Oryctolagus cuniculus: one gene and its partners. The protein of the gene in region 7 interacts with the protein of the main gene of each other region in a pairwise test. Links are inferred from orthologs where the notes say so. Each region holds a gene or a part of one and is shown on either strand. Other genes may lie near its edges.

Region 1 (4,009 bases), on a different chromosome or scaffold from region 7:
GAGTGGGCACTGGCCAGCAGGGGCTGCCCGAGGCCTGGGCCTGGCCCCAGGAGGCTCTCTGAGCATTGAACACAACCCATGTGCTCGGAAGTAGGGTCGGGGCGCCTCGCGGCCGAGACACCCGCACCAACCTCGTCGCCTCTGACCCTCCCCACAGGGCCACTGCTGCCCCGGGCAGCTGAGGGAAACCGAGGCACAGGGAGGTGAGCGGCAGGGCCCCGCCGCGTGCCCAGTTGCAGAGCAGCAGGCCCACCCCCCACCGCCCCAGCCTCACCGCCGGCTCTCACTGGCCAGGTACTCGGCGAACATGCGCACGGCTTGGAGCTCGGGGGCCGATGAGGGCTTGATCTCATCCAGGACCACGCCGAACTTCCGCTGCGGGCGGGACAGACACGGGTCAGCGGCCCCCGGACAGGGCGGCCCTGCACCCCCACCCCGGGGCCACATGTCCCGGGGTCGTAGCCATGTGCGCCCTCCCCTGCTGCCCACACCGTGCACTGCTAGCTGGAGGCCCTGGGGGTCACTATCCCTGCCCAGCCGTCCACCCCCGGTGGGGAGGCGACAGGTGGAGGTGGGCGTGTCCCCGGGGGAGGCAGGGAGGGGCCGGGTCTTGTACAAGGCGCACCCCACCCAGCCCCAGGCCGGCGGTCCCTTCTGAGGGGCCGTCCGTCTCTGACCTCCCTTCCTTCCTTCCTTCCTAGACGGCTTCTTTTTTAAGCATAATTTTAAAATATTTTTAGGAGCTGGAACAGTGGCATAGCTGGCTAAGCCTCTGCCTGCAGTACCAGCAAACCATATGGGCGCCGGTTCGAGACCCAGCTGCTCCACTTCCCATCCAGCTCTCTGCTGTGGCCTGGGAAAGCAGTGGAGGATGGCCCAAGTGCTTGTGCCCCTGCACCTGCGTGGGAGACCCGGATGGAGCTCCTGGCTCCTGGCTTTGGATCGGCACAGCTCCGGCCATTGCGGCCATCTGGGGAGTGACCCAGCAGACGGAAGACCTCCCTCTCTCTCTCTCTCTCTCTCTCCCTGCCCCCCCGTAACTGTGTCTCTCAAATAAAAATCTTTTTAAAAAGTTTTTGAACATGATTCTAAAAAGTCTTACACATTCTTTTGAGACACAGAGAACAAGGAAGGCCCCGTCCACTGGTTCGTCCCCCCCCCCCCCCCCGTGCCGGCCACGGTCCCCAGCCGGGAGCCGGGAGCCCCACCCGGGTCTCCCACGCGGTGGCGGCAGCAGGGACCCCATCACTCAGCCGTCAGCGCTGCCCCCGGAGTCGGGAGCAGGGCTGCGACACCTGGGGCCGGGACATGGACACAGGCGCGCTCACGCGGGCCCAGGACACACTCGTGTACGTGCGTGAACACGCTGCGCCCCTCCTGCGGGCGGTCCAGGCGTCCCCCGCCGCGGACGCGAACCCTGCGGGACCCGGGTGCCCAGGCCCCGGAAGGCGGAGCCGGGGAGCCACTCGGGCCGGATGCTGGGCGGGTCCCGGCGCCGGGGCGGCAGCAGGCGGGTGCAGGGGCGGGCGGCAGCAGGCGCGTGCACGGGCCACGTGCCCCACCTGCTGCGTTTCCCCGCGGCAGCCGTGACCGCTCCGGCCTGACCCCGGGCCCCGGGCCGGCACTGTTTCTCGCTCTCCTATGCCCAGCTGGCCTTCGTCCTGGGCCACACTCACCTGGGCCAGGTACGCTCGGTACAGGAAGACGTCTCTCTCCACGTCTCGCTCTGGGCTGGACAGCTGTGGGGACGAGGGCGGGTCAGCACGCACAGCCACACCACAGCCCCCGGCCCCCCAGGAGGGTCAGGGCTGAGCCCGGCCCTGGCTCCAGCTCCCGGAGGCCCCAGAGAGCCTCTGCGGGGGTGAGGGGTGTGGAAGGGGCCAGACCTGGGGTGACCCCAATGCCCGCTCGGCGATGGCACACACGGGGGGCTTCAGGGGCCTGGCGCTGTGGCTGAGCCGCCCCTGGTGACTGTGACGCCCGTGCCCCGCGCTGGGTACAGCCCCGGCTGCGCGGACTCCGAGCCAGCTCCCTGGGAAGGCAGTGGACGATGGCCCAAGCCCCTGGGCCCCTGCCGCCCACGTGGGAGACCCCGATGGAGCTTCCGGCTCCTGGCTGTGGCCTGGCCATCGCGGCCATCTGGGGAGTGAAAAAGCCGACAGCTCTCTCTTTCTCGCTCGCTTCCAAGTGGATGGAGACCAATAAACGGGGCCCGAGCACAAGTCCCAGGCCACAGCAGGGAGCCGGATCGGACCCGCGCTCCCGTGGGATGTCCCGCGGCGCCTCAACTCCACGCCCAAAACGTAAAATCATCGAAAAAAAAAATTAGAAGAAAGCAGACCCTGGAAGCAACAGCCCCTCTCGGCCCCCGGCGCCCTGCTGGGTGCACCTGCCGCGCCGGGCTGCCTCCTGACCGGTGCCCGCCTGTCCGGCTCGCCCGGCCCTCCAGGCGCGCCGCGAGCGCCCCCCAGCGTGAGCGGGCGACACCACAGCTGTCACGGCTCTGACTGCGGGCCCGCGCGCTCGGACGACGCGCGTGGACACAGGACGTCGAGGAGGCGAGGAGAAAACGCAAAGTTCCGAGGGCAAAGAGGGCGCAGCCCGCGGCCGGCCCCGCGCCCCCGCACCTTCACCCGCTGCGCCTCGTTGATGCACTGCTGGTAGCTGCCGATGTAGAAGGCGTTCTTCACGTCGAACAGCTCGTCCACCTCCCCGGAGCCGCCGGGGGACGGGCCGGGAGCCGGGGGCGCCATGTCGCGGTCCTCTCACCCGCTCTTCTTCCGGGAAGACACGTCGGCCGGAAGTAGGGCCCGCTGCGGAGCACGCTGGGAAATGTAGTTTCCACGTCCCGAGCCAATGGGAGAGCCCTATGGAGAACGCACTCCTGCGTCTCGCAGAGCATTTCGGGAGTTGTAGTTTGACTCTTTTTCCGTGAGCAAACGGGATCCGGGGACGTGGAGGAGGTTGTGTTCGAGGCTGGGAACCGAAGGGCGCTTCGCGACGTCATCGGAGCGCGCCGGAAGCGCGACTTACCTCGGCCCCCGTGGCCGCCTGCGAGGATGGCTGGCTTTTCGGAGCTCGGGCTGTCATCGTGGCTCGTGGAACAGTGTCGGCAGCTGGGTTTGAAGCAGCCCACGCCCGTGCAGCTCGGCTGCATCCCCGCCATCCTGGAGGGTGAGTGCGGCTTCCCCCGGAGGCGGCCCCAGATGCGCCTCGCTGCCTCTGCGCAGCCAGGCAGGTGCCAGGGGGCTGGGGGCCAGCCTTGGTCGGTACTGGCGAGCCCGGGTCGGTGCCGGCACCTAGGCCGCACGCATGACTGACTCGCTTTGGAATCGGAGCGCGGGGCGGGCGCGATCGATGGCGTGGGCCCGGCAGCACTGGCATTGTCGCCTTCGACAGAGGGGCACTGAGGCTGTCCGAATCCCGGGGCCACCTCGGGCTGCGCCCCCGCGAGCGCGCCTCTGACCCGGCCCAGCTGTGCCGTTCCGCAGGGGCGCGCAGGTTGAGGGAGTGGCTACATCGGGTATCCAGGGGCTGGAATTGGGGCAGGTCGGGGTGGGGGAAGATTCTGGATTCCCGAAGCTCAGCCCAGGTGCCAGTCCAAGCCGCTGCTTCCCGGAAAACTGCCCTTCTGTTGAACGGGTCCGAGCATCCCCTGCCTTCTAGGTTTGTCGGTTCCCCGCCGCGGGAATGGAAAAGGCAGGGGAGGGGCCGCCCGGTCCTCTTAGCTGTGGGCGGCGCCCCACCCTCCCACCGCCCTGACGCCGCCTCGCCCTCTCCCAGGTCGGGACTGCTTGGGCTGCGCCAAGACGGGCAGCGGCAAGACGGCGGCCTTTGTCCTGCCCGTGTTGCAAAAGTTGTCCGAGGACCCCTATGGCATCTTCTGCCTGGTCCTGACGCCCACCAGGTGAGCCTGCCCCCGGGACGTCCACCCAGCTCTCCCGTGTGGGTGCAGGGGCCCAAGCACCCCGGGCCCACCTCCCGCTGCTTTGCCGGACTGGAAGTGGGG
Region 2 (3,158 bases), on a different chromosome or scaffold from region 7:
AGGGGCGTGTGGAATGTGCCCTACATAGCCCAGGCCTACGTGATCCGCGGGGAGACCCTGCGGACCGAGCTGCCCCAGAGAGAGGTGTTCTCGAGCAGCGACACCGACCCGGACATGGCCTTCTGTAAGAGCCTGCGTGACCAGGTGAGGGCTGGCGGGCGGGTGCCGGGGGCCGGCCGCCCGCTGCCGTGGCCAGCGCCCTTCTCACGCGTGCTCGCCGCCCCGCCCCCACCCAGGGCATCTTCCTGCACCTCAGCAACCGGCATGAGTTTGGCCGCCTCCTGGCCACGTCCCGCTACGACACGGACCACCTGCACCCCGACCTGTGGCAGATCTTCGACAACCCTGTGGTGAGTGGGGGCCGGCAGCCGAGGAGGCGGCGGGGGCTGCCTGGGCCGCATCTCAGGGTCCCCCCCATCCTCTGTGTCACCCCATCCTGCCCCCCCAGGACTGGAAGGAGCAGTACATCCACGAGAACTATAGCAGGGCCCTGGAAGGGGACGGGATGGTGGAGCAGGTGAGTCCTGTGGCAGCAGTCGAGCCGACGGGGCTCCAGCCCGCGCGACCTCCTCTGTGTCCGGGGCGTAGCGATCGGTTTATGGGTGAAACTAGGATGTCAAAAAGAGGTGCCTGTTGTGGAGGGGTGGGAACCTGGGGCTCCCGGACCCGCAGGCCGCCCTGCTCTGCCCCAGCCTCTCCTCCCTCTCCCCCTCTGCCTTTGCTCTGTGAGCACCCACCCCAGCGCTGCTCCTCCTTTCCCCGCCCCACCCCAGCCGTGCCCGGATGTCTACTGGTTCCCGCTGCTGTCAGAGCAGATGTGTGACGAGCTGGTGGAAGAGATGGAGCACTACGGCCAGTGGTCAGGAGGCCGGCATGAGGTGAGGGTCCAGGCCTCCCGGGAGGAGGGGACGCTGAGACCGGGGGCGATGGAATGGATGGGGGGGACACACGGGGAAGTGAGCCCCAGGCAGTACGCCTGCATCGAGGAAACGTCACTGGGCCGTTGGCCAGGACGTGCAGGTGCAGCGAGGCGCCAGGCAGGGCAGGCTCTGCCCTCCTGTCCCGAGCAGCAGCTGCCCAGCTTCCAGAGGCTGGGACGGGCAGCCCTTGTCCCTGCCTGGGGGGACAGGAGGGCTTCATGGGAGCTGTGAAATCAGGAAGTAGGGAAGGAGTGCTCCAGGCACGGAGAGCAAGCGTGTGAAGACTTGGGAGCATGGGGGAGGGGGCCTGGCCCGGGCGGGGCGCGGAGGGGCCCCGGCTCAGCGTCCACTGCCCCCAGGATTCAAGGCTGGCCGGAGGCTACGAGAATGTGCCCACCGTGGACATCCACATGAAGCAGGTGGGCTACGAGGACCAGTGGCTGCAGCTGCTGAGGACCTACGTGGGCCCCATGACCGAGAGCCTGTTTCCGGGCTACCACACCAAGGTAGGCCGCTGCGGCTGCCCTCACCGCCCCTGCCACCGCCACCTCTGCCCCAGCCTGCCAGTGGCCACCCAGAGCCCCATCAGCTCCCGTGTCTAAGGTTCTGTGGAATCCAGGTCCCAGGAATGAGACGGGGAGCGGGGACAGGGACCGGGCCAGAAGTAGGCAGGCCGAGACCCGGGGTGCATCGTGGCTTAGCCGCGGCGCCAGTTAGCAGTGAGACCTTGGGGGTCTCGAGGTGTGTGTGTGTGTGGGGGGGTGCTGTGCTCTCCCCAGCAGCCCCTCCCCCCATCCTCTGCTCTCTGCACCTGCAGGCCCGGGCGGTGATGAACTTCGTGGTTCGCTATCGGCCGGACGAGCAGCCCTCTCTGCGGCCACATCACGACTCCTCCACCTTCACCCTCAACGTGGCCCTTAACCACAAGGGCCTGGACTATGAGGTGAGCCCCTCCCCCGTCAGCACACACCCACGTGCATGCCCTGGGGCGGGGGGACCCTTACCCAGGGCTCCTGCCACCTCCCCACCCCGTGCCTTCCTCCCACGTGCACGCCCGGGACAGGGGGACCCTTACCCAGGGCTCCTGCCACCCCCACCCCGTGCCTTCCTCCCCATGTGCATGCCCTATGCCCTGGTGGGGGGGACCCTTACCTGGAGCTCCTGCCACCCCCACCCCGTGCCTTCCTGCCCCCTTCCCGCAGATGCCCCCCCCCCCCCGTGTGGCACCACCCCCACAGCTCAGGTGTGTGCTCAGCCCCCTCGCCTGCTCCTTTCTCACTCCCCCCACCAGGGTGGCGGCTGCCGCTTCCTGCGCTACGACTGCGTGATCTCGGCCCCGCGGAAGGGCTGGGGGCTCCTGCACCCCGGCCGCCTCACCCACTACCACGAGGGGCTGCCCACCACTCGGGGCACCCGCTATATCATGGTGTCCTTTGTCGACCCCTGACACGCAACCACTGTGCCAAACCTTCACTGCCATGGTGCCTTCTCAGGGGAGCCCCAGCCGCAGCCCCAGCCGCCGGAAAGGGGCGGCCGCCGGTCTCCCCGCGTCCTGAATGTGTGCTGAGCGTGCCTGGGACTGATCGTGTCGTGCACCTCCCCCGCCCCCACCCTGCCCAGACACAGCCCCCTCCCTAGAGCCCGCAAGGGCTCCTGGGGAAAGGGTCTCCTGGGGGTGCCCTGGGTGATAAATTATTGAGACTGTTCCCTCCCACTAAAGGAGGATTTGTAACTCTGAGTCCGTGGGTTGTCTGTCATCCCCCCTTGTCTGGTCCTGTTCCTGCCCGCCACCCTGTCCCCTGCCCAGCACTGCGGGCAGAGCGCGGGAAAGGCTGTACCTGCCGGTTCAGGTGGAGGCCCCAGCCCCACGCAGGCCCCTGACCTCCCCAAGGATGGGTGCAGGAGCCAAGGACGGCACTGGCACAGGAGCTGCCCCCTGGACACGCACGTGCTCTGGACCTAAACTTGAACCTGGGCATGACCAGGGAACGGGATTCCCTGCAGGGTCATCATTGGAGAGCTTCCTGGCAGAGGGGGCTGTGAGAGGAGGAGAGACCTGAGAGCAGGGCTCCTTCCAGCCTCTGGGAGACCCCCAAGCCCTTGCGGCTCCCTGGGGGCTGCCCCTGGATCTCCTCTCTGTTCCCTGCTAGAGGCCTTGACGCCACCTGGCCCAGGGCGTTTTGTTGGTTCCGGACCCTTCCCCCTCCCCAGCTGGAGCCCCCTGGCAGGAGGGCGGTG
Region 3 (4,242 bases), on a different chromosome or scaffold from region 7:
AAAAATATTAGTCACAGAACATGAAGCTAGACTTAAATCTGTAATGTGTTCACTATTCTTCCAAGGAATAGGACCTCAAAGCTTATAAAGAACCTAATTTAAAAGAATGTCATATCACCATGTCAGGCGTAGATACTGAATAGTGCTGTTGGTGAGTTTTATCCTCTATTTTATACTAGTGATAGAAAACCCTCCTGGGAAATGTGCATGAGCACTTGAGTGGATGACCTATAAAGACCAGATGAACACAAGGCCCACTTTAGAAAGGGACACACAGCTGCCTCTCCAAGCAGCCAGCTGTGTGACTGGGGCAAGTCACTGCACTGCTCCAGCCCTTGCTTTCTCACATGGTCTGTGATAGGTGTTCTATCCAGCCAATTCTGGCTTATTTGCCCACAAGAGGCAGTCAGGTGTATCAGAATTTAATACCCAATTATTTTCCTTTTGTTCTGAGACTATTACCATATTTTACAACTGCCTCCTCCACAGACACACTAAAAGGCCTCAAAAACATGGCAAGTTTGTGCTGTGAACTCTGAAGGTTCTAAATAACTCAAGACACTGTCACTGGTTCAATATGACTAAGCACCCACAGGAGGGTATTTTCAGTTCCACAGTGTCTAAACTTACCTAACACCCAAAGTCAGTTTAATATTTCATGTCTATTTCCTTGGGGATTATTTCCCCCAAGCATTATTTCCTGCCAACACAGCGACATGAAAATCTTGCAATCCACTTCATACAAGTGTCGCCCACAGTGCCACTGATGGTCGTCTGGGGCCTGCATTCTTGGCGGTGGCAGGTCAGCCGCACAGTGCCCACAGTGCCGGGACCAGCATCACGCCTACAAGAGGTGGGGACCAAAAATGTCCCTAGACACTGCCAGATATGTTGCCCTGGATAATGTCCTTGGGGAGGGGGTAGTGAAACCCCCCCCCTAGTAAAAGAACTGATCCAAGAACTTCATTTTTTCTAACGGAAGTTTTACAGGCGCGTCTGGCACAATGTAAAACCGCCTTGGGAAAAGTGCTAACTGAAGTTGGGAAGCCGAGGGTGCGTCCTGGAGACAAAGGAAGAGACAAAAGCCCTACACGGCCTTTCCCCCTGGGCTCGATCTTAAGTGGAAAGGCGAACGGAAGCGAGGCGGTAACTCTGGGTTAGAGACTACCTCTGCATCCCTGCCCTGGGCTGGGCGTATTCCGGAGTCAGCACAATGAAACCGGCGTGACCTGAGAAGAGCAGGTGGACGCCTCAAGATGCACCCACTCCGCGGGCACTTCCAGGTAGGAGCTGACCACCGCGGCCGGAGGGGCCTCGCGGCACTGGGTGCGGGCGCCGAGCTCCCGCCACGCCCACCGGACGTCACCCGTTACACAACGCCCCTCCACCCCAGCTTATGCAATTCTGCCCTCCCGCGGCTTCCAATTGCCCCGGTGACTTTTGCGGGTCGGGAAGGTAGACCTAGCCCGCCCAACCTCGGCTGGGGATCCCCGCCCCGCCGCGATGTCGTCTCCCACCCCCGGGGTGGCCCGGCCCTGCCGGGCCCGAGCCGCCAATTCCCGGAAAGAGCGCGGCAGGAAGCGGGCGGCCGCTCGGGCTCCCCCAGCTCCCACCCATCCCGCGCCAGGGCGGCCTCCGGCCCGGGGGCCCGCAGCTCCGCGCCGCACGCGCGCGCGCCCGAGCGCCAGGCCGCGGCCGAGGGAACCCCGCGCCCGCGCGCCCCTCCCCGCGCCGCGTCACAGTGGGCTCCCAGGGCGATCCCCATTGTGACCGAAGCACCCCGGGCGCCGCCCCCTCCCACACCCTCGAGCACCCCGAGATCCCGCACGCCGAGTGCCCAGCGGCCCCCGGGGAAGCAGGGCGAGCCTGCCCCAGGGCGCAGACCCGCTCTGGGTACCCGGCCCGCCCGGGAAAGGAGGGTGGGGTCGGTCGGGCCCGCGCCGCATCCCCGCGCCGTCACCTGCTCGCAGCGCCTCGCAGGCGGCGGCCAGGGCCTCCCGGTAGCGCCCCTGAAGCAGCAGCTCCCCGAGCCGGCCGGCCGCCCGGGCTCGCTCGCGCTGACCCGGGAACCACTTCTCGGCCAGGTGGTTGAGGACGACGCTGGTTCTGAAGTCCGAGGCCGCGATGGCGGCGGCCAGAGGCGGCGGCCGCGGGCCGGTCCCCTCAGCACCCGCGGCACTGGCGACGGCGGCGGGCGGCAGCCGGTCCCGGCAGAGGCGGCAGCGGACGCGGAGCTCTCTCCGCAGGCAGCGGCGGCAGTAGCTATGGCCACAGGGCACCGTCACCGGCTCGCTGAGGAAGCCGCGGCAGCCCAGGCAGCTGAGCAGCCCGCCCGCACCCGCGCCGGCAGCCGGGGCCGCGCTCCAGCCCAGCCCGTGGCGGAGCCGGTAGTTGAACACCAGGCAGTCCACCAGGGTGCCGAGGCACTCGGGCCTGACCGGGGCCCCCCGGCGCAGCGCCGCCGCGTACGCCTCCAGCGCTCCCTTCAGGTGGCCGCCAAGCGCCAGCAGCTCGCCGCGGCGGAGCAGCAGCTCCCAGCGCTCCGACTCCGCGGCCGCGCGCTCCAGCTGGTCGCCGCCGCCGCCGCCGCCGCCGCCGCCGCCCACTTCCCAAAACCGGCCTCGGCTCCGGGGCCTGAGGGCCGTCTCCCGACTCCCTCCCGGAGAGCCCCTCGCCACGGCCGGAGAAGACATGGCCCGCGGACGGCTGCTCCGCCGCCGCCGCCGCCGCCGCCGCCGCCCGCCGCCACGGTCCCAGAGCCTACGGGGCGCGCGGCTCCGCACGCGGCCCGCGAGCAGGGGGGCGTGGCGCGCGGACACGGCGGGGCGGCGCGCGCCCGGGAAGCCCCGGGGGCGGGGCCTGCGTGGGGCGGGGCCTCTGCCGAGGGGCGGGCCCAGGTCCGGGTCCAGCGCTCGGGACTCCCCCGCACCACCCGCGGCCGCGTTCCCGAGGAGTCGCCGGCCCGGCCCCGCCTAGCCCCGCCCCTTCCGAGCCCCCTGCGGGTGGGGGACGCAGGTCAGATGATCCCGCAGCGGGGATCTAATTGGTTTCTCGGGAGAGCAGGGCCTGGCGTGTTACTAAACAAAGCCCGAAGGATCCTTTATCACCCACCCGGGGCTGGCCTCCCCGCCGACGACCCCGCCTGCAGCGGCCCCCTCCCTCGCCTCTGCTCGGTGGGCGCTGCTGTGCTGAGTGGACCCCCTCCTCGCGGGACGGAGGCCCACGCCGCCCGCGCTCCCCCGACGCACTGCCCCATCGGGCTGGGGACCTGCGCCCTCGCCCTGCGCGGAGTCCGGGTCGTCAGGTGCAGGGTGGCGTCTTAGGTGTATGCCTCAGGTTACAGAGGTGGCGGGCCCGCGACAAGTGCCGTCTGACGACTTCGTGACTCGACTACCGTCGGTCTACATTAGACACAAACGCAAAAGTCCGCAGCTCCCTCCAGTTTTTTCTGGTGCCAAGTGGCCGCGGCCTTTCCAGTTCAAAACTCATTTCCTAGCTCGCGGGTTCTTGGGGTGCCGGCTGTATCCCCCTTCCAGCTGGGGGAAGTCTGTATTCCCCAAGGAAAGATGCCTTGCCCACGGCAGGTACTCTCTCCCTACATCCCGAGTTGGGTCTGCAGCTTTACAGACAGAACAAAAAGAAATGATCCCACTTGTAGGTAATGGGTTATACTTCCTGGAAGTTGACAGCAGCGAGTGTAAAACTCTCAATTGAAAATATTTATAGTTTTGAATATAGGGTTCTGGGTTGTTAATGTTGGAAGAGACTTAAAACTTTTTAGTTACTTTGCAGACGGTTGGAAAAGAAAAGTTTACTTGTCCGAATTCACACAAGTAATGAAGAGAGAGGATTTAACTGCTATGTTATGGTATTGATAATAGTTATAGATTCATTCCCCAAAAGGGAATGAACAAAAAGCTGACCGAGAAAATACTGAGACACACAAGGTGCAGAGACACACAAGGTCACTTTTCATTTACATTGCGCCTACAGCAAGTTGTAGTGGGATCCAAGCCCCGTGGCCTAATTGTTCGGTGTGTATTCACAGGCATGAACTTAAATCCAATCCTAATCCCCCTGAATTGCGACCTCTCAGCCAGCAGAACGATGACTTGAGTCACATGCCCACAGACCAGCTTGAAGCTACAAATCCCAAAGACTGAGTATCCCTATGCACGTGCCCTTTGACTTACGGGATGCATTCTTGTCCGTAACAGCAGCTTGCCAAACGTGCAGTGGTAA
Region 4 (3,323 bases), on a different chromosome or scaffold from region 7:
TCACCAGCTGTCTGGGCACCTGGTTTGTCCCCCATGGCAGCTCTCAGGAGCCAGGGCAGGACGCACGCTGTGGAGGTGACTTCCCGTTTGGATCAGGGGGAGGGGAGCCATGGGAGAATTGCCTGGGTCCTGAGGAAGTCCCTTGCCCTCATCCCAGGCTCTGCTTGGCCTTTGGAATGAGGAAGGGAAGGGAGAGGGCCCCCAGCAGGCCTCTTATGTGGAAAGGAAGTTGCAACAATAGTTCCAGTTGCATTGGGTCATTTTTCTCCTGCCCTCCGTGTGTGCGTGCGGGTGTGTGTGTGTGTGTGTGTGTGTGTGTGAGAGAGAGTCTGGGGTCAACTAATCAGTTCGGACACCTGTGTGAAAACCACTTGTAAGCGGTAATAAAAGGGAAGTCTGAGTGAAGCCCTTTGGTTCCATGAGGATCTTTAAAGGTCGCAGGTACGCTGGGGCAGGAGTGACCTTAACACGGGAAGTCAGATGACCACTCTGCAAGCAGGTTTTGAGTTTGCTTTCTCCCCTGATTTATTGGGGAGGACTTGCTATTGCTTTTATCAAGTGCTTGCTAGCCACGGATGCCAACTAACTTCCTCGATTGAAGGCCGGAGGATCATGTCTGGTTCCAGGAGCCGCTTGAGCAGGTCCTGGCATTCGGCCGAGATGCCCAGGTGGGTGGGGAAGGACACCCCCTTCTGCTGCTGCCACAGCATCTTGGGGATGTCTGTGTCATCAAAAGGTAGGCTGGCGCAGAGCATGACGTACAGGACCACGCCCATGCTCCACACATCGCCCTTCTTGCTGTCGTGGGGAACGCCCTGCAGTACCTCGGGGGCGGCGTAGGCGGTGCTACCGCAGAAGGTCTGGCTCAGCTCCCGGCGGGACTTGGGCAACACTTTGGCAAAGCCAAAGTCTGTGAGCTTCAGGTTGAAGCCCTGCAGCAAGGCGTTCTCGCACTTGAGGTCCCGGTGGGCCACGCCACATCCATGGCAGTAGCGGATGGCCTCGACCATCTGACGGAAGAGGGCCTTGGCCCGGCTCTCAGGCAGCGGCCCCCCATTCAGCACACAGTCAAAGACATCCCCTCCCTCAGCCAGTTCCATCACCAGGTAGATTTTCCCGTCCGCAGACTCCAGCATCTCGTACACCCGGATGATGTTCTTGTGGTCCAGGGTGCGGACGATCTGGAGCTCCCGCGGCAGGAATCTCTGGATAAACTCTGAAACGAGAGGACAAGAGGTGATGAGCTATCAAGTCAAAGGGCCCAGCGCCTCACTCCTGGACTTCGGGCTGCCCTTCTTAAATGTGGTTCTCGCCCTTGGATGTTGCGAGAACCGAACCGTCACTCCTGTTGCTTTTGTAGCTAACACGTTATGCAGTGGAACTGCCCCCTGCCAGCTTCGGCACTATTGTGAGCAGTCTGGGAGACTGCAGGTAGCAAGATGAGGTGCTTTGGGGACTTTCAGACAAAGTTACTGAATCTGTTACAAGGCCATACTTGCCCAGGGCATGGTGAGCCAGCTCCTCCCGTCCCTGGTCCCTGCCTCCTGCCTCCTGACCCACGGTTCTTTCCCATGAACCCTGCCTGCCTTTTTCCCACCTCCACCTACCTTGGCACCAGCTCCTGCCTTCCGCTAGCCCTGGCTGTGGCCTCTCTGCAAGTCTCTGTTCGTTCCCGGAATAGGAAGAGCCTGGCAAGCTCAGATCTTGCCTCTGAGGACTCCTCTCCTGGTGCCGCTTTATCTTGGACTGTGCAATGCTCTTGGACTCCCAGCTTCCCTCTGTTCCCGCACTGACCCCCCCCCGGGGGGGGGCGGGGGTCCCTAGGGCTTGCATTCCTTGGTTCCAGACTAAAGGCCAGGAGGAAATGACTGCTCTGACTGGGGAAAGTGCCCTCCCACCTCAGCCAGCCCTCCCTTCCTCCAGAGGGCCCCCGGCTCACCTTCTGGCCCTCCCATCTTGTCTATAATTTTAATTGCCACTTTTCTTTGGTGTTTTTTGGAAAATGCTTCTCTGACTTTTGAGTAGGTCCCTTCCCCAATGGTCTTGCCCAGCTGGTACCCATTGGAGAGCAGAAAGTCCTCCATGCTGTCTAGCGCCTCCTTCCTATCACCCACTCAGCGCATGCTGCCTCCGCGAGGCAGCTCTACTGCACCATCGCCCTCGGCCCGCTCCTCTTCCCCCCAAGGACTTCATCCACAGCCGCCCCAGCGCTAGAGCATTCTCCGTCTGCACGCAGCCGCGGGTGGGGGGCAGGAGAGGGTCAGACATTTTAAAACTCCGGCCCAATTGTGATGTAAATATTGTGTGACCCTTGGCCAAAATGGGCAATGGCCCTACCTGCTCGCACCCTCTCTGCCAAACCCAGCGCGGGCTAAGTCCCCGCCGCCGCGGGGCCGGGCCGGGCCGCGAGTCACTGCGTAGCCGCGGAGGGCGCTCCAGGGTGTCGGCGTGGAGCGGGCGTGCCCGGCTCCTCGGCCTCCATCTGGCGGCCAGGGCGTCTGCGCGGCCAGGTCTCCAGGCGCCATGGCGAGAGCCTTCCGACGCCCGGCTCGGGCCCCCGCGAAGTGCTGGGGCGGCAGGGGGTTCCCCGGCGTGGGGAACGGGCTCTGTGAGGTCAGCGCGCCGCGGCCCGGGTCACAATGCCGTTCTCCCCCTCGACACCCGAGCCCGGGCGCGCCGCAGACACCTGCCCGGCTCCGCCTGGACCGGAGCGTCCTCCCGCGGCCAGGGCTCGGGCAGCTGCCTCCAGCCTGGGAGCGGCCTCGGCCTCCGGCAGGTGAGAACGACCCAGGGGCGAGCGCGGGGAGGGGGTCGCCTGGCGGCCCGGGAGCGGCCTGACAGCCACTCCCCGCGCAGAGCGCCCCGGGGCCTGGACATGAGTGCCCAGGAGCCCCCGCAGGGTCGGAGATTCCCCATTGAGGCCGGAGACTCCCCTGGCCTTGCCGCCGTCCCAGAGTCCCAGGACAGCCCGGAGCCAGTAGCTACGGAGCACAACCCGGTCAGGTGAGGCCGGCGCCCCGTCCCGCGGCCCCACCTGTGGCCCACTGCGCGCCCCCAGGCCTCCCCACATCCAGGCCAGAGCCCCAGTGGACCTCCAGGGCACTCCCTGGGTGCACCCCAAGATAGGCCAAGCCCCCGGCTCAGCGGCCCGTTTTCCCCAGGCCGCTTCGACGCTGCCCGGGCTGCCACTGTCTGACGCTGCTGCACGTGCCCATCGACGTCTACCTGGCCATGGGCGGGAGCCCCCGGGCCCGCGCCACCTGAGTGCGCCTGCGCACGGCAGCTCCCCGGGAGCCGGGCGGGGACGAGGCCCTCCGCGGGCC
Region 5 (3,999 bases), about 4.1 Mb from region 7:
CTCACTACTCTTCTATGAAAAATGTAAGCTTGAGGCCAGTGATGTGGTGCAGCAGGTTAAGCCTCCACCTACAGCACCAGCACCCCATTTGGGTGCTGGTTCGAGTCCCAGCTGCTCCCTCCTGATATGCCTGGGAAAGCAGTGGAGGATGGCCCGAGTCCTTGGGCCCCTGCACCCACATGAGAGACCTGAAAGAAGTTCCTGGCTCCTGGCTTCAGCCTGGCTCAGCCCTGGCCATTGCGGCCATTTAGGAAGTAAACTAGCAGATATAAGATATCTCTCTCACTCTTTCTCTCTCTCTTTCTGCCTTTCAAATCTTTATTAAGATTTATCTATTTATTTGAAAGGCAGAGCTATAGAGAGGCAGAGGTAGAGAGGTCTTCCATCCGCTGGTTCACTCCCCAAATGGCTGCAATGTCCGGAGCTGCGCTGATACAAATCCAGGAGCCAGGAGCTTCTTCCAGGTCTCCCATGTGGGTGCAGGGGCCCAAGGACTCGGGCCATCTTCTACTGCTTTCCCAGGCCATAGCAGAGAGCCGGATCGGAAGAGGAGCAGCCGGGGCTGGAACCAGCACCCACATGGGATGCCAGCACTGCAGACAGCAGCTTTACCTGCTACGCCACACTGTTGGCCTCATAAGTAAATAAATCTTAAAAAAAAATGTAAGCTCAAGACATAATTGAGTAACATATTATGCTCTAACTTCTCCTCATCCATCCTCAGAATCAAGGAGACTGAAGAGAGAAGGCGAAGGAAGCTCATGGTATTGTTGTCATTGCTACTGCTGGATAGACCTCACTCTCTCAATCCAATGCTTGCCTGTCTCCCACCTCCCCAGACCAGCCTCCCAGAGATGAGGTGAACTTAGCACCAAGATGTTTATTGCTCACTTCCAAGAAAAGGGGAATAAACCCCTACCAAGTCCTGAAGCCTCTGGCCTAGAATAGATTTTTTTTTTTAGGGGAGGAAAGTAAGGGATCCCACACCCAGGATCAAGGTCAGGGATGGAGGTAACATGATCTAGAAGATTCAGACAAACCCCTAGGGCCCTCAGTCCTGCATATTTTGTAAACCCTTCCTCCCAACGTGAGGCAGCCCCCCAACAAAACACAGCTGGAAACATGACGCAGACCTCTCAGACTCTCCAACTTCTAGAGAATCAATGAATAATTGAAGGTGTTCTTTCACACCCGGGGAGGGCAGGGGGCTGATGAACAGTTCCAGGCCCTCCTAGGGCAGGGCGAGAAATGCAAGGTCTATGTGAGATCACTGGGGTGCAGGTGTGGGAAATCCCATACAAAAATCCTATCAGCTACACAAGACTCACAAGGCTGCTTCTTCACGCTAAGGAAAGCACTTGTGATGTACTTCAGAGGTCTTAAGACCCGTAGAACCTTCAAGTTTATGGGCAGGGAATAATGGGACCCCTGCCCTGAACTCAGAGGGGATGGGAAGTAGGTATTAGGAAAGGGAGAGGGAGATCTGACAGAGTGTGGAAGAGGGGTCTAGGGTTGGGATGGGATAAAGCGACAGGAAGGGAAGGAGTACAGAGGACAAGACAGAAACATCTTGGGATGGAGGTCAAGAGGCAGGACAGGAAGTGAGCCAGAACACTGCTCAGGGGATGGGATGGCTAAGATTCAAGACAGGGTTAGAGGCAAAGTACAACAAAACAGCAGGGCGGGGGACAGCATCCCTACAGAACAGAAGCCAGTTGTCAAGGGAGGGAACAGGAAAAAGGGCAGGTTAGGGATAGAGGTCAGGAACAGGAAAAGACCAGGAGAGAGTGAGGACTGGAATGAGAATGGTGATGGGACAAGAAAAGGGGGAAAAATAGGACAGGATTGGGGCCAGAGCAGGAGACAGAGAGGGACATATACAGGTGGTAAGCTGGGATGGAGACTGGAGTAAGGAGAGGGACCAGGGGCACAGTACAGGGCAGGGTGAAAGTACCTACGTCAGGTTAGGAATCAGGACAAAACTGGATCAGATTGGGGTTAAGGAAACAAGAGGGGCGGAGGTTCAGAGACTGGGTAAGAGTTAAGGTCAAGCACCAGGACATAACAAGATGAGCCTCAAAGCTGAGACGGGCTCAATCAAGAATCAGAGATCAAGTCAAGGATGCTAAGGACAGAACTGGATGGGGTTTGGGGTCCTGACTGGATTTAGGGGGACAAAACAGAGGATGAAGATCCCACCACCCCAGAATGTGGTTAGGTTAGGGGTTGGACCACAGGTCCTGAGGCCAAAGCTGGCTGGGGTTCGAGATCTCAATAACATGTAGTCAGGTCAGAGGGGGTCAGGGGTGAGGCCACGGGGTCAGAGGTCGTGAATGCCAGCGCAGGTATATCCTCACCAGCGTTTCCGGGCCCTCAGCCCACCCAGTCCCCTCCCTTGCTCCCCAAGTGTGTGCGGGGGTCTTACTCACCGAAGGTCCTCACCCAGAGGCGTAGGCGGGGTCGGTGCAGGCCGGCAGGGGTAGTGGGCGCGCCCGTCCCTCGCTGCGCCCTGCTCGTCCCCGGGCGCGCGCCTTCTCCTGTTCCGCGCCCTGCCCGTGGGCCGCGTTCAGCCGCGCGACCGTTACCGTGGGGCCAGACGGGGGGCACCCGGGGGGTGGGAGAGGAGCGCCGGCCAAGCCGCCGGCGCTGGGCCCCCGCCCCCCACCCTGCACTCGGGTCCGCCCGCTCCCGGCGGCACGACCACCGCCGCCGCTGAACGCGAGCTTCGGGGTGGGGGGTGCGGGGGGCGGGGCGCGAGACCACAGCAGCGGCGAGGACGAAGTGCGCAGGCGCCAGGTCGGCTCTTCGATTTTCCTGCCCTGGGAGCGCCAGGAGTGAACAGGCTGGGAGCGCGTGCGCACAGACTTTCTTTAGGGCGGCGGAGTCCTCCCCCAGCCCTGCCATGGCCACGCCCCCTCGGCGAGCAGATAGGCACCCCCCCATAAGTCACTCTGCACGGACCCCTAGGCGGTACAAGCTGTACCCCATGCTGCTCTCTATAAGCCATCACCACACCTCTAAACTCTCCCAGCTTTCCTTGTCGCCATCCCCAAATGCACCCCAAACCACTCTCCATCACCCTCAAAGTACTGTCCACTGATCCGAAGCAGGACCTCTGATTTATCTTCCATGGACATCCAAGCTGCACCAATAAACCACCTCCCATTGACCTTCAAGCTGTGCCTAAATCACACTGTATTGACGCCAAGCCTTTATCCCTTAAATGACCCTCCATGACTATCAAAATTACACCCAGATCACCTATAGAATCTCCTGGTGCACCCCCAACTGTGTTCCCACAATCTCCAAATCACTCTCCATTTATCTCTGAATTTCAATCTTCAAACTATCTTTCGTTCATTCTTTCTTTTTTCTTTAAATGTATTCCCCAATTCAATGTAGGCTGTCACAAAGAGAAAGTGCAGGGATTTTTCTTTCACATCCTGGTGCAAACCAAAAGAACAACAGCAAATTGTTCAAGGTCTATCAGTGGACGCAGTAAGCTATCTTTCATTATCCCCCAAATTATGTCTTCAAATTACTGCCCATTGATCCTAAGTAGTACCTCCAATCCATCCTCCATGGACTTCCAAACCGCACCAAAACACTACCTTCCATTACTCCCAAATTGTTCCTCAAACCGTCTGCAGTTAGCCCTGAAGCCATTAGCCTTCAAACAGCACTTCCAAATCATCCTCCAAATGCCTCCAATGTGCACCCAAAACACTGTCCATTGATCCCAAACCACTCTCCATGTACCCTCCAACCATACACTATGAATCCCCTACTGGCTCTGCAAGAGTCCATAACACCACTCCAAATATTACCAGCTACCCTCAATGTGGGCGTCACTCGCACCTCAAATCAATTCCAACTGTCACTTGCTCTGTCTCCAAACCATGCTCTATGGATTCCACCACCATCAAATGACCTTCCATTGACCTCCCCTCCTGTCCTCACAAAATTGCCTTGCAGAACCCCCGATCTCTGTCCTGCATG
Region 6 (3,500 bases), on a different chromosome or scaffold from region 7:
CCACATTAGGGGAGGGGACTGCCACCAGGAGACTGCAGGCTGGCTTTGTGCACAGGTGCTGGCCATCCTTGGTGCACCTGAGTTGTGTTGGCCTCCAGTGAGGAACACCTAGAAACCCCACAGCCAGTGCTGAGATCATCTGACCTTTTCCTGAGTCCTCTATGCCCAGGGCTGGACTTTTGTACACTACTCTTCTGCTCTTCTCTCTGATATTTCCAACTCAGAGAAAGAGAGAGAGAGCGAGAGAGAGAGAAAGACAGGGGGGAGGGAGAGAATATACTTAGATCTGCCCCCAAGGAGATTTGTTAATTCATTCAACAAAGTGTACTGAGTGCTTATTAGCTCAGTGGGAACTGTGTCCTGGAGGCTGCCCACTTCGGATTTAGTGTCCACCTGTTTTAATCACACTAGCGCAAGGTCAAAATGGCAACATCTGAAACATCATACATCTAAGTCTTTACTCTTTTCCTTGCTACATGATATTATTTAATTCTCCAAAATTCACCAACGTTTTTGGTGGTTTTGTATCTAAATGCCCTGTAAAATAAATAAGCAGACACATTTGCCATTGTTTTGGGCACCCATTAGGATGAGATCTGTTGGTGCTGTGAGGGTCTAGGTTTGCAAGAAGATTGCTTCTATGTTCCCTTGTGCTGTTCATATTCTATTATTTCTAATAATAACAGGAATGGTTGAGAAAAGTCCTCTTCTTTGAATTTAATGGTGAGCAAATATTTGATCAGAATTTTCCAGTATCGATGATTTGGGGGAGATATTTCTAAACAGTGTAATGCATAAAAGATGAGAAGGAAAGAAAGGGCACAGGGTCACATAACTCCACATTGTCCCACCCACCTTCCCATACTGAGAGCTGGCTTCCACCAGTACCTAAATGTGACCAGACCCTGGAACAGCAAGCACCCCCGTGCCTGTCTCCAAGATTCTCAACCAAGAACTGACGGGAAACAGATGATATTTGTACCTCATAACCTTTCAGTGACGGCCCCACTAACACCACAGGACGCATCGACGGCACAACATCATAAGGAGGAATGTGCTCCGTCTGAAAAAGAGGATTCAACACATGGACAAGCTGAGGCTGAGCATCCCTCCTCCACAGCCACAACACTCCCAACGCCCTGTGAATGACAGTGATGACCATGGGTTCCCCAAGCAGGCGCATCCCTTATGTCATAGCCACTGGGGTCACTGAAATGGAGCACCGCAGGCACGTATATATAAAACCTTAACAGATTTAAAAAGGAAACACAACTTACCACTTTTTGCTTCTGTTTTGCTAAAAGACAACAATGAGAGCCATATCAAAATATGTCATCTCTGAAAGTGACAGTACATGACCTTAAAAGATGGATGCAGGCATGTATTTGTCCCTGTAATTATCTTGCTGACTTCCCCATCACCCACTCTGCAGACACTGTCTCTATTATTTCATTCTGGATGTGCTGATTTTGAAGCACACATGAACATACGTCCCGATTTCACATGGGGAGGGGGTGATGGAAAGTAGTTCACAATGACATTGGAGGTTCTGGGCCAGCCGTTAACCATGGGCTTCTTTCCATGCAGAACATAGCACCCAGTGTGGCTGGGAACAAGTTGAACAGATAAAAATTGATAAAAAGCAGCATAGTAACAAGTGGGCTAAAATGACTATTTTGGGGTGTGTAACTTTGGTGACCCTATGATAAATAGGCATTCTTTTTTTGTTGCTTTTGCCCATTTTCTAGGAAATGGACACATGTTTTCTTACTATGTTGCTTTTATATTTCAAATAAATTTATAATCAGTTACTTCTGTTCTTTCCAGTTTATAGTAATAATAAGCTGCAATGTCCTACAATGGGAGTAAAGCAAAATATACTCAGTGTCTGATGAAAGTGCTTTTGTGGCTATCTGAGCACGCTCAGTTTATTGGGGGTTGGAGGAAGCAACCCAGGGAGCTAGATTGGCTCAGAGTGTTAGAGTTCAGGAGAAATTCATATGAATAAGGATCCAGATCCTCACAACTGTTCTAAAACCAATTTCAATACACAGAGACCTTTGGACTTGCTATTCTGAATTGCTAATATGAGGGCTACCCTAATGCAGCATCAACTATGAGCAAGAATGAAATTAGCCTACAGAGAGGTCAGGGAAGGTGGAGGAAGAAAATCCCTGCATGAATATGTCCATATTTTCTGAAGATACTACCATCTCCTCATTACTGTTAATTCCAGGGCAGGGATGTCTGCTGTCAAAATAGAAATCACCTCACTTGAGCCCCACCTCATTCCCAGCCTCAACCCACCAAGTCTCCATCACCCACATTGTACTAACACTTTCAAAGTTTCACATGGAGACTGAAATAGAGCATTTTCTTGAGTCTACAATGTTTTTCCCCTTTCTTAGTGGCCCTCATCATCTCAAAATCTGCTGGGTTCTTGGGTAGAAGAACGAACTTGTCACAGACTAATTCATACAATGGATAGTTATGGCCTCTGGGGAGCAGATAAGATTTTTCAAAATTATAAAGATCTGAATTTCTAGTGCTATTATTCACCTTTAAATCAAACCAAATTACCACAAGAAGGAAATGAGCAATGAAATTTGAAATAAAGGAACCTTTGTAAAGGAAGCCTTTAACTCATTTCCAAATTAGCAAAAATGCTTGCATGCATACTCAAATATTAAGGAAGGAATGTATCCTATTGAAAGGAATGTAACAGACCCTCACCGGTCGATGTGGGAGTTGCTCGAAATGTCCCTGATACCATTTCTCCCAGACTTGAAGAAGAATTTCCACTTGATTTCCTAGGATACAGAAAACGAACGTAAGATTCGCTCTGTGCAAACATTTCTGGAGAGTACAACGCTTTCATTGGCATTCAGCCCACTAAATAATTCAAAACACACTAAATTCTGCTATAGAGAACTTCAAGAATCTGTCCAAATGTTTCTATTTCTCAGAGAAAGTGGGTAACTTTTGAGAACCCAGACAGACTTTGCAAAAGTATTTCTACCAGTGATTTAATATAGAAACCAGGCAAAAGAATTACTGATAGGAATGTTCTGAACTGCTTGCTAACCTAACACCAGTCGCTAGCACACAAGTCAGATGTCAGCCACAGCTCAAAACAATCAGCAAGGGGTGAACATTATGGCACAATGAGGGTAAGCCTCCATTTGAGGTGCCCGCATCCTATACTGGAGTGCCAGTTTGTGTGCCAGCTCCTCTGCCTCTGGCTTAGCTTCCTGCTAATGCACTTGAGACAGCAGCCAAAAAAGAGGACAGCCCAAGTGCTTGGGCCCCTGCCACTCACATGAGAGTCCTAGATAAAGTTCCTGTTTCCAGGCTTTGGCCTAGCCCAGCCCTGGCTGTTGCAGTCATTTGGGAAGTGACCGCCAAGTAGATGGTGGTCACTCTTTCTGTCACTCTGCCTTTCAAGCAGATTAAATTTTTTTTTTTTAAAAAAGCAATAATACTGGAGGAATCATTTCTTA
Region 7 (3,500 bases):
GCATGAATAAAAGAAGAAAATAGAAAAAACAGCACTAGAACTAAGTAGAAATGAACCACAGGGCATTTGAAGTGGACACATTTACCCAGGACAGCTAGATTTGGAGTGAGCTAAGGGAATTATTCCACTGCCTCAGAAAATTCCCTACAGAAGCCCTAAGACACTAACAATGACAGTCGTTTTCTCAAATGCTAACTTTAGATTCTCAAAATCAAGTTGAGAAAGATCAACCAAATGTTGAACTTATATGTTTTGGAACCTCAACCATATTCTTCATATTAAGGTAATCTGTCAATCTTTCACCACATCCTTTATTATTAAGGTAATCTTCAGATCCAAGATGTGGTTTTCAATCTACACTGAAGCCTTACTGATTCTAAATAGGCATCTGCATTTATTAAAGGCAAATTCTTCTGCCCAACGATCTAAGGGCCACTAGCAGCTTCTTTACAGCAGCTGCCACCTGCACATTCCTGGCTTCTCTAGTCCACAGTCTCCAAAGCAAATATACCCAACTGTCCACTATAGGGGACCAAGTTGGCCCCTGTAGGACCCACACATTGTGACTAATCTGGCATGCAAATCGAGGGGAACAAATTTCCCTAATGAATCTAAGAGTGAAAATCAAAGTCTTTTTCATTCCAATTCTTTTGTATGCCTTCTCTCACAATCCGGATTCCCAGAAGGCCAGGAAGGCTACACAATGGTGACACCAAGATATATGAGGTAGGCTTCCTTTCATTCTACAGACACAGCACTTCGTCTTTCACGAAGGCATTTTCTAGCTTCCATCTCACCCCTCCAGGAAATGTGTTCTGAATATTCTAAGGTTCCCAGAGAAGAACAACTGTCCCCCTGCATACATGGGATCCACATCCATGAATGAAAATATTTCAACAAAAAAGAGGCCTATGATGGTTGTCTCTGTACTAAACACGTACAGACATTTTTTTTCTTGTAATTATTCTTTAAACAATACAGTATAATAACTATTTCTATATCATTCAAATTATATTAGGTACTATAAGTAATATAAAGATGATTTAAAGTATAGTGGAAGAGGCTGGCACTGAGGTGTAGTGGGTAAAACTGCTGCCTGCGACACTGGGTTCGAGTTGCAGCTGCTCCACTTCCAATCCAGCTCCCTGCTAATGTGCCTGGAAAAGCAGCTGAAGATGGTCCATGTCCTTGGGTCTCTGTACCCACATGGAAAACCTGGAAAAAGCTCCTAGCTCCTGGCTTTGGATTGGCCCAGCTCTGGCTGTTGCGGTCATTTGGGAAGTGGACCAGTGGGTAGAAGATCTTTCTACATCTCCTCTCTTTCTGTAACTCTGTCTTTCAAATAAATAAATAAATCTTTTTTAAAAATAAAGTATAGGGGAAGAATCACTTCCCCAATGGCCACAACGACCTGGCTGGGCCAGGCCAAAGCCAGGAGCTTCTTCTGGGTCTGCCATGTGGGTCCAGAGGCCATCTTATGATGCTTTCTCAGGTGCATCAGCAAGGAGCTGGAATGGAAGTGGAGCGGCAGGAATGGAACTGGTGCTTATACAGCACGCAGGTGCTGTAGGCTGTGGCTTTACCCACTATGCCACAGCGTCAATCCCACTTCTAAGACTCCTACATAATAGTACAGCAGGTCTCAGCTCACCTTCCAGCCTAGAAACCTCTCATGCAACATTATCTCCTAAATCTACTTACAGTGACCTATTTATTATATTAAGTGCTTAATAAACAGCTGGTTTTTATGCTGACCTTAAGTAACCTGATTAGAATGGAACTAACACCTAAGAAATGAGAAGCTGGAAACCTGGCTGAACCTCACCAGGAAAAGTAGAGCAAACTGGTACAAAATAATTTCCTAGAGAAAATGAGTAAGTATGTTCATCATGGTAAGCAAGAATTAAGCAAAGAGCAGAGCATTTGGATTTCCATTTCAATTGTTTAACCAATGCATCTATCATAGCGAGGCAGTGGGCACAAAGGGAAAACAGAAGTCCCTGGCGTCAAAGCACACAAATTCAAATCTTAACTTATCCTTTGCTCACCATATGATTGGACAAATGAGCCCTAAAATGGGTATAATGAGCCTACCTATAAAGGCTTGTTGTTAGGAATATATAAGACAACAAATGCCTGGAAGATAGCAAATATACAATAAACGGTAACTATCATCAGCTTGGAAACTGAAAATCAAAAGTAAAATCTTAACTAGGGAACAAAAATTGTGGATTTTAAAGTGTTTTCCAACAGCCATACGCATCACTTACCAATTCCATATTTAGTTTTATAATAAAGCTTCGTAAATTCATCACAGTCACAAAGCAGCACTTTCCTTCCCCACACATTGATGGAAGCTCCTACAGACAGGTCAGAATCTTTGTAAAACTCTTGGTCTGATTTTCCCATCTAATAAAAACAAAGGAATACAGCATTGGCACCATGGATCTCCAAAGAACTATATACAAAGAAAACTTCGTAAAAATTCAATGATGTCATTTATAACTAAATTTTTGAAATCGAGTGAATATTAATATTTTAAAGCATTATTTTAGCACCACAGTGCCTGCAAAAACCAACACAATGCACATATTTACATATAAACTAAAGCCTGGCTATTGTTGATAAATGGCAGTGCAATGCATCTTTTTTTTTTTTTTTTTTTTTTTTTTTGGACAGGCAGAGTGGACAGTGAGAGAGAGAGACAGAGAGAAAGGTCTTCCTTTGCTGTTGGTTCACCCTCCAATGGCCACTGCGGTTGGCGCACCGCGCTGATCCGATGGCAGGAGCCAGGTACTTATCCTGGTCTCCCATGGGGTGCAGGGCCCAAGCACTTGGGCCATCCTCCACTGCACTCCCTGGCCACAGCAGAGAGCTGGCCTGGAAGAGGGGCAACCGGGACAGAATCTGGTGCCCCGCCCAGGACTAGAACCTGGTGTGCCGGCGCCGCAAGGTGGAGGATTAGCCTAGTGAGACGCGGCGCCGGCCGCAATGCATCTATTGGTACAGCCATTCATTTCATTTACAATATCACAAGGGAAGAATATGTAACTTGCCCCCATGGTTCAGGGTCCAGGGAAGTCCCATGGGAAACACTAATCAAACATAAGGTTCCTCACCTGGTACTTATCCAACATGTAGCTAGCACCTCGGTTGTCCAACACGCTACCTATCTCTGACAATCTATCATACACGTTGAGAACTGTTCGATCTGTGATCTGGCCTGGTTGATAGACTCCAGGTGGGCCATACTGGAAGACAAAATCGAAACAAAGTATGGGCCACAGCCTCGAAATACAAAGCTGATACCATCCAGGGGCACATGCAGGAGACATGCAATGTGTGGTTCTTCTCTCCCATCCAGGGGAAGACACACAGTCCTCTTCCCACAGCATCACAACCCTCGTGGGCTGGCCTACACTCCAAGCATCCTTCAAGTCCTTAATGAGGCCCCATCTTCCCCATCTTCCCCACCTCCCCAACCCCTCCCATACTACAGG

What was found.
Region 1: the proteins of EFHC2 (region 7) and COPE interact in binary tests that used the Homo sapiens proteins (3 or more experiments, as listed by UniProt). The two-hybrid records come from large-scale screens. The link is inferred for Oryctolagus cuniculus from reciprocal best matches to the Homo sapiens genes EFHC2 and COPE.
Region 2: the proteins of EFHC2 (region 7) and PLOD3 interact in binary tests that used the Homo sapiens proteins (3 or more experiments, as listed by UniProt). The link is inferred for Oryctolagus cuniculus from reciprocal best matches to the Homo sapiens genes EFHC2 and PLOD3.
Region 3: the proteins of EFHC2 (region 7) and LONRF1 interact in binary tests that used the Homo sapiens proteins (3 or more experiments, as listed by UniProt). The two-hybrid records come from large-scale screens. The link is inferred for Oryctolagus cuniculus from reciprocal best matches to the Homo sapiens genes EFHC2 and LONRF1.
Region 4: the proteins of EFHC2 (region 7) and TSSK3 interact in binary tests that used the Homo sapiens proteins (3 or more experiments, as listed by UniProt). The two-hybrid records come from large-scale screens. The link is inferred for Oryctolagus cuniculus from reciprocal best matches to the Homo sapiens genes EFHC2 and TSSK3.
Region 5: the proteins of EFHC2 (region 7) and CCDC120 interact in binary tests that used the Homo sapiens proteins (3 or more experiments, as listed by UniProt). The link is inferred for Oryctolagus cuniculus from reciprocal best matches to the Homo sapiens genes EFHC2 and CCDC120.
Region 6: the proteins of EFHC2 (region 7) and CACNB4 interact in binary tests that used the Homo sapiens proteins (3 or more experiments, as listed by UniProt). The two-hybrid records come from large-scale screens. The link is inferred for Oryctolagus cuniculus from reciprocal best matches to the Homo sapiens genes EFHC2 and CACNB4.

The regions. Positions count from the first base shown.
Region 1 is NC_091447.1:65,883,247-65,887,255, forward strand, and holds the start of COPE (coatomer subunit epsilon), read right to left. Parts: upstream 2,801-4,009; 5' UTR 2,754-2,800; coding exon 2,628-2,753; intron 1,740-2,627; coding exon 1,677-1,739; intron 376-1,676; coding exon 275-375; intron 1-274. Other genes in the region: probable ATP-dependent RNA helicase DDX49, read left to right, coding at 3,060-3,174, 3,784-3,907. UniProt on the Homo sapiens protein: The coatomer is a cytosolic protein complex that binds to dilysine motifs and reversibly associates with Golgi non-clathrin-coated vesicles, which further mediate biosynthetic protein transport from the ER, via the Golgi up to the trans Golgi network.
Region 2 is NC_091450.1:43,400,223-43,403,380, reverse strand, and holds the end of PLOD3 (multifunctional procollagen lysine hydroxylase and glycosyltransferase LH3), read left to right. Parts: intron 1-2; coding exon 3-144; intron 145-236; coding exon 237-350; intron 351-448; coding exon 449-517; intron 518-773; coding exon 774-878; intron 879-1,279; coding exon 1,280-1,426; intron 1,427-1,737; coding exon 1,738-1,863; intron 1,864-2,211; coding exon 2,212-2,367; 3' UTR 2,368-2,658; downstream 2,659-3,158. UniProt on the Homo sapiens protein: Multifunctional enzyme that catalyzes a series of essential post-translational modifications on Lys residues in procollagen. Plays a redundant role in catalyzing the formation of hydroxylysine residues in -Xaa-Lys-Gly- sequences in collagens.
Region 3 is NC_091433.1:77,989,200-77,993,441, reverse strand, and holds the start of LONRF1 (LON peptidase N-terminal domain and RING finger protein 1), read right to left. Parts: upstream 2,801-4,242; 5' UTR 2,694-2,800; coding exon 1,961-2,693; intron 1-1,960.
Region 4 is NC_091438.1:140,117,617-140,120,939, forward strand, and holds TSSK3 (testis-specific serine/threonine-protein kinase 3), read right to left. Parts: upstream 1,918-3,323; 5' UTR 1,834-1,917; coding exon 1,608-1,833; intron 1,217-1,607; coding exon 555-1,216; 3' UTR 501-554; downstream 1-500. Other genes in the region: protein FAM229A, read left to right, coding at 2,640-2,776, 2,857-3,003, 3,162-3,264. UniProt on the Homo sapiens protein: Serine/threonine protein kinase required for spermatid development and male fertility.
Region 5 is NC_091453.1:34,200,843-34,204,841, reverse strand, and holds the start of CCDC120 (coiled-coil domain-containing protein 120), read right to left. Parts: upstream 2,801-3,999; 5' UTR 2,430-2,800; intron 1-2,429. UniProt on the Homo sapiens protein: Centriolar protein required for centriole subdistal appendage assembly and microtubule anchoring in interphase cells. Together with CCDC68, cooperate with subdistal appendage components ODF2, NIN and CEP170 for hierarchical subdistal appendage assembly.
Region 6 is NC_091434.1:90,039,418-90,042,917, reverse strand, and holds part of CACNB4 (voltage-dependent L-type calcium channel subunit beta-4), read right to left. Parts: intron 2,811-3,500; coding exon 2,734-2,810; intron 1,298-2,733; coding exon 1,278-1,297; intron 1,064-1,277; coding exon 983-1,063; intron 1-982. UniProt on the Homo sapiens protein: The beta subunit of voltage-dependent calcium channels contributes to the function of the calcium channel by increasing peak calcium current, shifting the voltage dependencies of activation and inactivation, modulating G protein inhibition and controlling the alpha-1 subunit membrane targeting.
Region 7 is NC_091453.1:30,116,092-30,119,591, forward strand, and holds part of EFHC2 (EF-hand domain-containing family member C2), read right to left. Parts: intron 3,252-3,500; coding exon 3,120-3,251; intron 2,410-3,119; coding exon 2,271-2,409; intron 1-2,270. UniProt on the Homo sapiens protein: Microtubule inner protein (MIP) part of the dynein-decorated doublet microtubules (DMTs) in cilia axoneme, which is required for motile cilia beating.